Linked DNA regions of Elephas maximus indicus. The protein of the gene in region 2 purifies or fractionates together with the protein of the main gene of each other region. This does not show direct contact. Links are inferred from orthologs where the notes say so. Each region holds a gene or a part of one and is shown on either strand. Other genes may lie near its edges.

Evidence for each region. Proteins that work in one complex are often made in the same cells at the same time.
Region 1: the proteins of SNRNP70 (region 2) and ARGLU1 purify together in Homo sapiens (affinity purification with mass spectrometry; 3 studies listed by BioGRID and IntAct, with this or other methods). This does not show direct contact. The link is inferred for Elephas maximus indicus from reciprocal best matches to the Homo sapiens genes SNRNP70 and ARGLU1.

The regions. Positions count from the first base shown.
Region 1 is NC_064841.1:72,269,433-72,273,254, reverse strand, and holds the start of ARGLU1 (arginine and glutamate-rich protein 1), read left to right. Parts: upstream 1-1,345; 5' UTR 1,346-1,572; coding exon 1,573-1,919; intron 1,920-3,822. UniProt on the Homo sapiens protein: Dual function regulator of gene expression; regulator of transcription and modulator of alternative splicing. General coactivator of nuclear receptor-induced gene expression, including genes activated by the glucocorticoid receptor NR3C1.
Region 2 is NC_064829.1:99,444,323-99,447,922, forward strand, and holds the start of SNRNP70 (U1 small nuclear ribonucleoprotein 70 kDa), read left to right. Parts: upstream 1-951; 5' UTR 952-1,164; intron 1,165-1,909; 5' UTR 1,910-1,919; coding exon 1,920-2,066; intron 2,067-3,600. UniProt on the Homo sapiens protein: Component of the spliceosomal U1 snRNP, which is essential for recognition of the pre-mRNA 5' splice-site and the subsequent assembly of the spliceosome. SNRNP70 binds to the loop I region of U1-snRNA.

The sequences.
Region 1 (3,822 bases), on a different chromosome or scaffold from region 2:
TAATTTTTGATAGGGCAAACACTATTGTTCTCTTTCAAGGTTTTCTCGGTAATTCCCAGCTATGTGACTTCCATATAAGATTTTAAAAGTATCTAGTTCTAACCTACACAGCCCCAGGTGAATTTGGAATTCTGATGGGAATTGCATTAATTTTGTAATTTGACTTCAGAAGAACTGGCATGTATTTTGATATTGACTTCCTATTCAAAAATATGGTATATGTTTTCCATTTATTCAGGTCTGGTTTCTGCCTTCCAACAAAGGTTTAAGGATTTCACCATTAAGATTTTGTAACTTTTAAAAATTATTACTACATATTTTACAGGTTTTATTTCTTTGGTGGAGAAAATCTTTTTATTTCATTTTTAATAGGTAATTGCATATTCAAAGGAAAATTGCTCATTTTTTAATTTGTCTAGCTATCTAGAACTCAGTTTTAAAATTCAGGCACATGGATTTTCAAGGTGTCCTATCATCCGTAAATAATAATTTTGCCTTTTCTAATTGGGACTCAACAGTGACACATTTATTGTAAAATCCAGAAACTTGCTTAACCTTGGCTAGGGCTTCTTTTTTTTTTTAGGGCTTGGGGTGGGGGTGGTTGGCTTACTGGTTATGCGTTTACCTCAGTACACATCCCCACTTACTAGCCTCGGGGACCGTTGTACGAATTAAACACTAGTTGATAAACGCAAAACATTTAGTACAGTGCCCTGGCAGGCACATTAAACCCTCCATTAAGCATCAGCATTCGTTTATGAAAACCCGCTGAATACATACCGCCCTCAGTCTCACAACCACTTTAGGAAATGTGGTTATCTACAGTCCACGAACAAGGAGACTAAGCTCAGGGAAGCAAGTCATCTGCCCAGGGTCACTCTGATACAATTCAGGGCTGTATGACAAAGCCATCTCCTAGAAAATAACGCAATTAATCAGTTCATACCAAACCCATTGCCTTTGAGTCATTCTGACTCACAGAGACCCTATAGGACAGAGTAGAACCGCCCCATAGGTTTTCGAAAGAGCAGCTGGTGGATTCGAACTGACGACCTTTTAGTTAGCAGCCAAGTTCTTAACCACTGTGCCACCAGGCGAAATTTAATTCACACCAAGGAATGATTTAACTCGCGCCAAAACATGATTAATTCATTCTACAAGAATTTTACCAAAAAACATAAATACGCTAAAGCAAAGATGTGAGTTTCTGAGCGTGGCCTCTTAGGCTTCCGCCAGGACACGCGGAAAGAGCCGAAGGGGCTCGGAAATCCTCGCTGCGTCTTCGGCAACAATCGTCAGGGGGCGGGGCCCGCGCGACGGCACGTTCACGCTGGGCATTGTGGGAAAGGTAGCCGGTGCGGCCACAGCTGCCATTTTAGGGAAGTCTCTCGCTGCGGCCTTCTCGCTTGAGGCGGCCTTCGTGGCGTCCGTCGACCGAAGACGACGGTAAAAAGGCATCTGACCGGTGGCTCTTCTTCCTCGGGGCCCGACAGAACGGTCAGCGCACGCTCGAAGGCTGAGGCGAGCGAAGCCGGGAGCGTTTGGAGGCCGGAGCCAGCGTCGCCTGGAAGGATGGGCCGGTCTCGGAGCCGGAGTTCGTCCCGCTCCAAACACACCAAGAGCAGCAAACACAACAAGAAGCGCAGCCGGTCGCGGTCGCGGTCCCGGGACAAGGAGCGAGTCCGGAAGCGTTCCAAGTCCCGGGAGAGTAAGCGGAACCGGCGGCGGGAGTCGCGGTCCCGCTCGCGCTCCACCAACACGGCCGTGTCTCGGCGCGAGCGGGACCGGGAGCGCGCCTCGTCCCCGCCCGACCGCATCGACATCTTCGGGCGCACGGTCAGCAAGCGGAGCAGCCTGGACGAGAAGCAGAAACGCGAGGAGGAGGAGAAGAAAGCCGAGTTCGAGCGACAGCGAAAAATGTGAGCGCGTGCCGGCGGCGGGGAGGCCGGGGGGCTCCGGGGAGGCCGGGGGGCCCTGGGGGTCGCGGGGGGCCCACGCGGCGGGGCGCGAGCAGGACCGGGCGCCCGGGGAGAGGGCGGTTTTGGCGCGCGAGGCGGCGAGAGCAGGAAGTGGCGGGGGGTGGGGTTCAGCGTGAGGTCGGGGAGCCCCGTCGGCGGGGAAAGGCCGGGGACGGGCCAGCCTCGAGGTGTGGGCGCCGAGCGCCGTGCAGACCCCGCGGGGGGATAGCAGAAAGGAGGTACCGCTCAGCTAGCCGGCGGGAGCTCCGGGCGACCAGCAGCATCCTCACCTGAAAGTTTAAATTTGGGGCAGGACTTAATATGCTGGAAGACAACGCTTTTCTGTGGCCCAACAGTTGGCACACACACACACAGAAAACAACTTTTTACTTTGGTGTATTCGTGTTGTTAAAAAGTGTGGGAGGTTACTCTGCTCTGGCTTACCCGTGGCCCCCCCTGTTTTTTTTTTCTTTTTTTGAGATTTAAAAACAGGGTGTACGAAGCTGAAGTGAGTTTTGACACTTAGTGTCTCCCGCGTAAGCACCATGCCAATCAAAGCACAGCCCTTCTTTTTTTTATTTTGCCTCGTACTTCTCTGTAGCAGGTTTATGTGCAGCCCTGCGTGTTCGTGTCCGCCCTGTTCAGTATGCTTGTTTAAAAGACACTTCAGTATTTGCTTTTAATTTTTGCGTTGCTCTCGACGGCACCTGGTTTTTCATGCATAGAACTAGAATTAGAGTGGCAGTAAGGTTCTCTTGTTTGGGTGTAAAAAAGAAATGTATTTCTAAAAAAGAGTCAACTTTCAAGTATCTGGATGATCCCCAAATAAACCGACTTTTGGTTTTCAAACGCAGGGTTTGGTTTGGCTCTAAACTTTAAGGACATGGTACCGTGATGCTCTGGATATTCATCTCCCAAAAGCCAGACTGAAAAGAAGAGTTAGGCAGATGTGCTAGCTCTCCCAGTTGAACCAGCCAGCCTTGTTGGTTTCTTCAGTGCATTTTTAGAAACTCCTCTTGAGGCCGGGAAGTTAACTGAATTTAGGGTTTTCCTGGAAGGAATTCATGTGTATTGAATTTTGGGGGGGTTTAAATTTTTCTGCAGTGTGATTTGTGTTATGTAGAATTTCCAGCACAACTTGTTTCTAAAAGGAAAAGTATTAAGAAGTGGAGGACTGGAACACAAATAATATAGAAGAATCATTACCCAGCGATATTTTTGCTGACGTTGTATGATTTTAAAACGCGCTCCTCATTCATGTTTGTTGTACTTCGGAGAACTGGCAGTAATGTGTATTTAAACAAGTACACGTAATTGTTTCTCAGTTAACGTTGATTGCAGAATCCAGCTTTTTGGTCTGGAACAAGAAGCTCAAGTGTAAAAATGCAGCTCTCAAATAACTATCAAGAGAAAAACATTTGAAAAATTACCTAACACATCTCTGAGGTAACTTTTCCATGTGGAAACAACAAAGCCCTCCAGCGGATTCTGCTTGTCGCTAGAAAGTGGCGATGTGTAGAAGAGGAAACTTACTATGCAAAGAACAATTAGAAGCGTGTAGCAAGCTACACATGAACAGCAAGAGAAGAAATCCAGGGATGAAATTATGGGAAATAGAACACAATACAGTTAGGGTGGGAGAAGCACATGGTCATTAGCATTCATACCTTGGTGGGGGAAGGGCTAGTAGCCACCTGTAAGGTGAATTTTTTTGTGCCCTTAACATATTCTAATGCCTTGGAATAATTGGGGCAGGGGGAGAACAAGGGAAAAGATAGGCTTTGGAGCCATGGGGATAGGTTGGGGTGAAGTAGTTGTCGGTCTTTCTGTTGGTTAGTTCATCCAGTCAGCAGGTATTAGTGCA
Region 2 (3,600 bases):
TTAACTCATTACAAGTCTAAAAGGCCCTAAAATAACATGACTTCCTGCCTAACATGTGGTTCCTGACATCTGGTCTCAACTCAGGGCCTTTTCCACCAGAACACCAGATGCCTTAGAGTAGATTCTCACTCATGGAGACCGCATGTGTGTCAGAGTACGACGGTGCTCCATGGGGTTTTCAACGGCATATCTTTTAGAAACAGATCAACAAGGCTTTTCTCTGAGGCTTCTCTGGGTGAATTTGAACAGCCAACCTTTAGGTTAGCAGCTGAGTGTGTTAACTGGTTGCCCTACCCAGGGTTTCCCCAGGGCCTTCGCACTGACTGTTAACCCCGCCCAGACCACTGTTCAATCGGGGCCTTTGTTCAAATATCTCTTCCTAGAGGGCTTCCATTATCATCTTTTTGAAAACAGTCTCGTTCTTACTCTTCCCATCCCCTTACTCTGCTCCATTTTCTTCATTGTGCCAACCACTACCTGAAATTATAATTAATTTAAATCACTTTATTGTCTTCCCCAGTAGAACGTAAGATCCACGAGGGAAAAGACTGCTTTAGTCACATGCTATTGTTTCCAGCACGCACTAAGTACTCGACATTACCCATCCACCTAACCACTATCAACGAAGGGACTCTTTGCCAGTCGGCGCAGGGGTACAGGCAGCACATCTCACTACGCACGCGCGCAAACCCGGGAAGTGTGCTAGGGGGAGGGGGCGAAGTATCAGGGGCAGAATCTCGCGGACAGAGGCGGTTGGAGTGGCGAGCCCGAGGGGGTGGTGGCAGGTGCAAAGCGCGTGCGCAGTGCGGATACCAGGCGGTAGCGGCAAAAGGAATTTAAGGCGCTCGAAGGCGGGGCAGTCACCCCGCGCAGGCGCCTTGCCCGCGGCGGAACCCGTGCCATGTGTGCGTTGTTCGCCCGTCGTAAGGCGCGTGCGCAGTGAGGCCGGCGGAGGGATCTGCGCGGGTCCCACCCCCTATTCCCGTCGCGAGCTGAGGCCGCGCGGGTTTGTGAGCAGCGGCCTGGTGCGCGCGCTGGGCCCGCCAGAGAAGCACACGGACGCCGACGCCGCCGAAGTCTAAGCTACAGCAGGAGTCTCTGTTGCTGAGGGGCCGCCGCGAGCCCCCGGACCAACGCCAGGCCGAGGAGGGCGCCGCGCGGCTGGTGAGTGTGACTGGCCTCACCGGGAACGGGATCGCTACCCACAAGCCCCTGCGTTGGGCCCCGGCCCCTCTCCTCGCGGCCGGGCCCTCTCCCCGCGCACCCACCACAGCAATATTCTTATCTGCGACCCTTACCCAGGGTGCCTTGAGCACTCAGGCCCTCGTCCCACAGCCCCCCGCGGTCCAGTACCCACAGGCCCTTGCGGTGTATTGCCTTTTTTCTTGTCTCTTCGCGGCGTCTCGGACCATTACCCACAATTCCTTTCCCCTTTTGGGTTGGGGGGCTTAGACCTATTACCCCCAAGCCTTTGTCTTGAGGGGTTAGCTATTTAAGATCCTCTGACCCCTTCATCGGTGACTTCGACCCTCGCCCCATAAAGCGTTCCCCATCTTACGTGGGACCTCCAGGAGCACGGCTCTGGGACTCAGGATCCTTGATTGTCTCCCCAACCCCCCAGGGACCCTTTCAGCCCCACAGTTCTTTGCTCACGACTCAGTCTTCTGTACTCAGAAACGCTTTATAGTCTTTGTTTTCCTCGTAGGCCTTTCTTCCCCCTAAACCTTCAAGACTTTGCTTTCTCTTTTAGGTTTATCCCTTTTGCGTGTGACATAGGGTCACTCTGCCCTTACAGAGCCTGTTTTAACATTGAGAGCTCGCTCCTGTTTCTCTCTTTCTTGAGAGTCAGGGGGTTTTAGGGGATTCATCCTAGCCAGCCTACCCTAATTGGTTCTGGTTTTGCCTTCAGACTTGGCAAGATGACCCAGTTCCTTCCGCCCAACCTTCTGGCCCTGTTTGCCCCCCGGGACCCCATCCCATACCTGCCACCCCTGGAGAAACTGCCACATGAAAAACACCATAATCAACCTTACTGTGGCATTGCGCCCTACATCCGAGAATTTGAGGTGAGTGCACTGAGTGGACGAAGAGCGGGTTGGGTTTTGGAGTCCAATCTTGGGCTGTTTTCTTGTTGCATGATTTAGGCAGGTGATTTATTCTTTGACTCTTAGTTTCTCTGTTTTAAATGGGATTGATAATGTATCTGTTGTAGGGTTTTTCTAAAGGAACCCTGGTGGTGTAACGGTTAAGTGCTCAGCTGCTATCTGAAAGGTTGATGGTTCCAATCCTCGCAGCAGTTCTGTGAGAGAAAGACCTGGCAATCTGCCTTCCTAGAGATTACAGTCTAGGAAACCCTATGGGGCAGCTCTCTGTCACACAGGGTAGCTGTGAGTCGAAAATTTATTTGCTGGCTTCTAAAGAGGATTATTCTGAGAATTTAGCAAGTAGCAGATTAGGATTCACGTCCTAGAGTCAGGTAGAACTTGACATCAACTGTGTGACTTTCAGCAAGTGGTATATCCTTTTAATGGCTTGATCTCTTCATCTTTACTAAGGTAGTATGTTCTCATGAGATTGATGCGGATTTAAACATCAAGATTTATGTGACAGATTTTGGCACCCATCAGTGAAAGACCATGCTATCATATTTATCGTTTTTAATTATTGATAAGGTGATGTTCAAATAGGGTCTTCACGGTGTACTAGAGTACTCAAAGCCATAGGCTCGGGATTTCAGCTGTGCCTTTGCAGGGTAACCATGAAAGCATAAGTTTCTGGCTCTCAGGTTTTTCATTTGTAAAATTGAGATAACAGCACCCACCTCCTGAGGTCCATCAAGTGCACTTGAGAAATGCTGGCACACAACCAGAAGTCCTAGAGAAAACTTGTGGCATCAGGTGGTTGGGCAGTGGATTCTTCTCCCTGTAGGGGAGGGGTGGCAGGAGTTGCAGAGCAGAGGTTAGCAGCAAGGAAAGAGTAGACGGTTAAGTCTTTAGTACTATTTGCCACCCTCAGTGAACTTCGCTACCCTCAGTGAACAGTACTTTGGAAATGTAACTAGCCAATTAAACTAATTGAATGGGTGCAAGCCTGTGGCACCCTTTGCTGATGGGAGTTGTGTGCTTGTTCCTATTTAATGAGTGGTTGGTGAGACCCCCCCCCAGATGATTTGAATTATCTGTTTCTGAGCACTGCATGGTCTGCTCCTTTTGTTTGAGGCCTGGCCCCAGTTCCCCTGCTCTCATGAGGAAGGGCCTTCCCATCAGCCCACAGGGTGTTCTGTGGCCCTCTGCTCACTACAGAACGGTATTTGGGGATTGTGAGAAGCAGGTCATTCTCTAAAAAGGGAAGATTAGAGCCTTTGATAATCTGTTCTTTGGTTAGATGTTTCTGTACCAGTGCTGCTCAAACTGTCTTTCGTGGTGAAGGACACATTTTTTTTTTTAGGATTTTCAATCTATTGCTGATTGATACTTCTGGTAAATATGTTAGATTTAGTTTCATTTTTCTGGTAATTTATTGTATGAAATATATATGTAATAAAATATTTGCTCTCCCAACTCTTCTGACACGTGTAATTTGGCGACATTAATTATATGC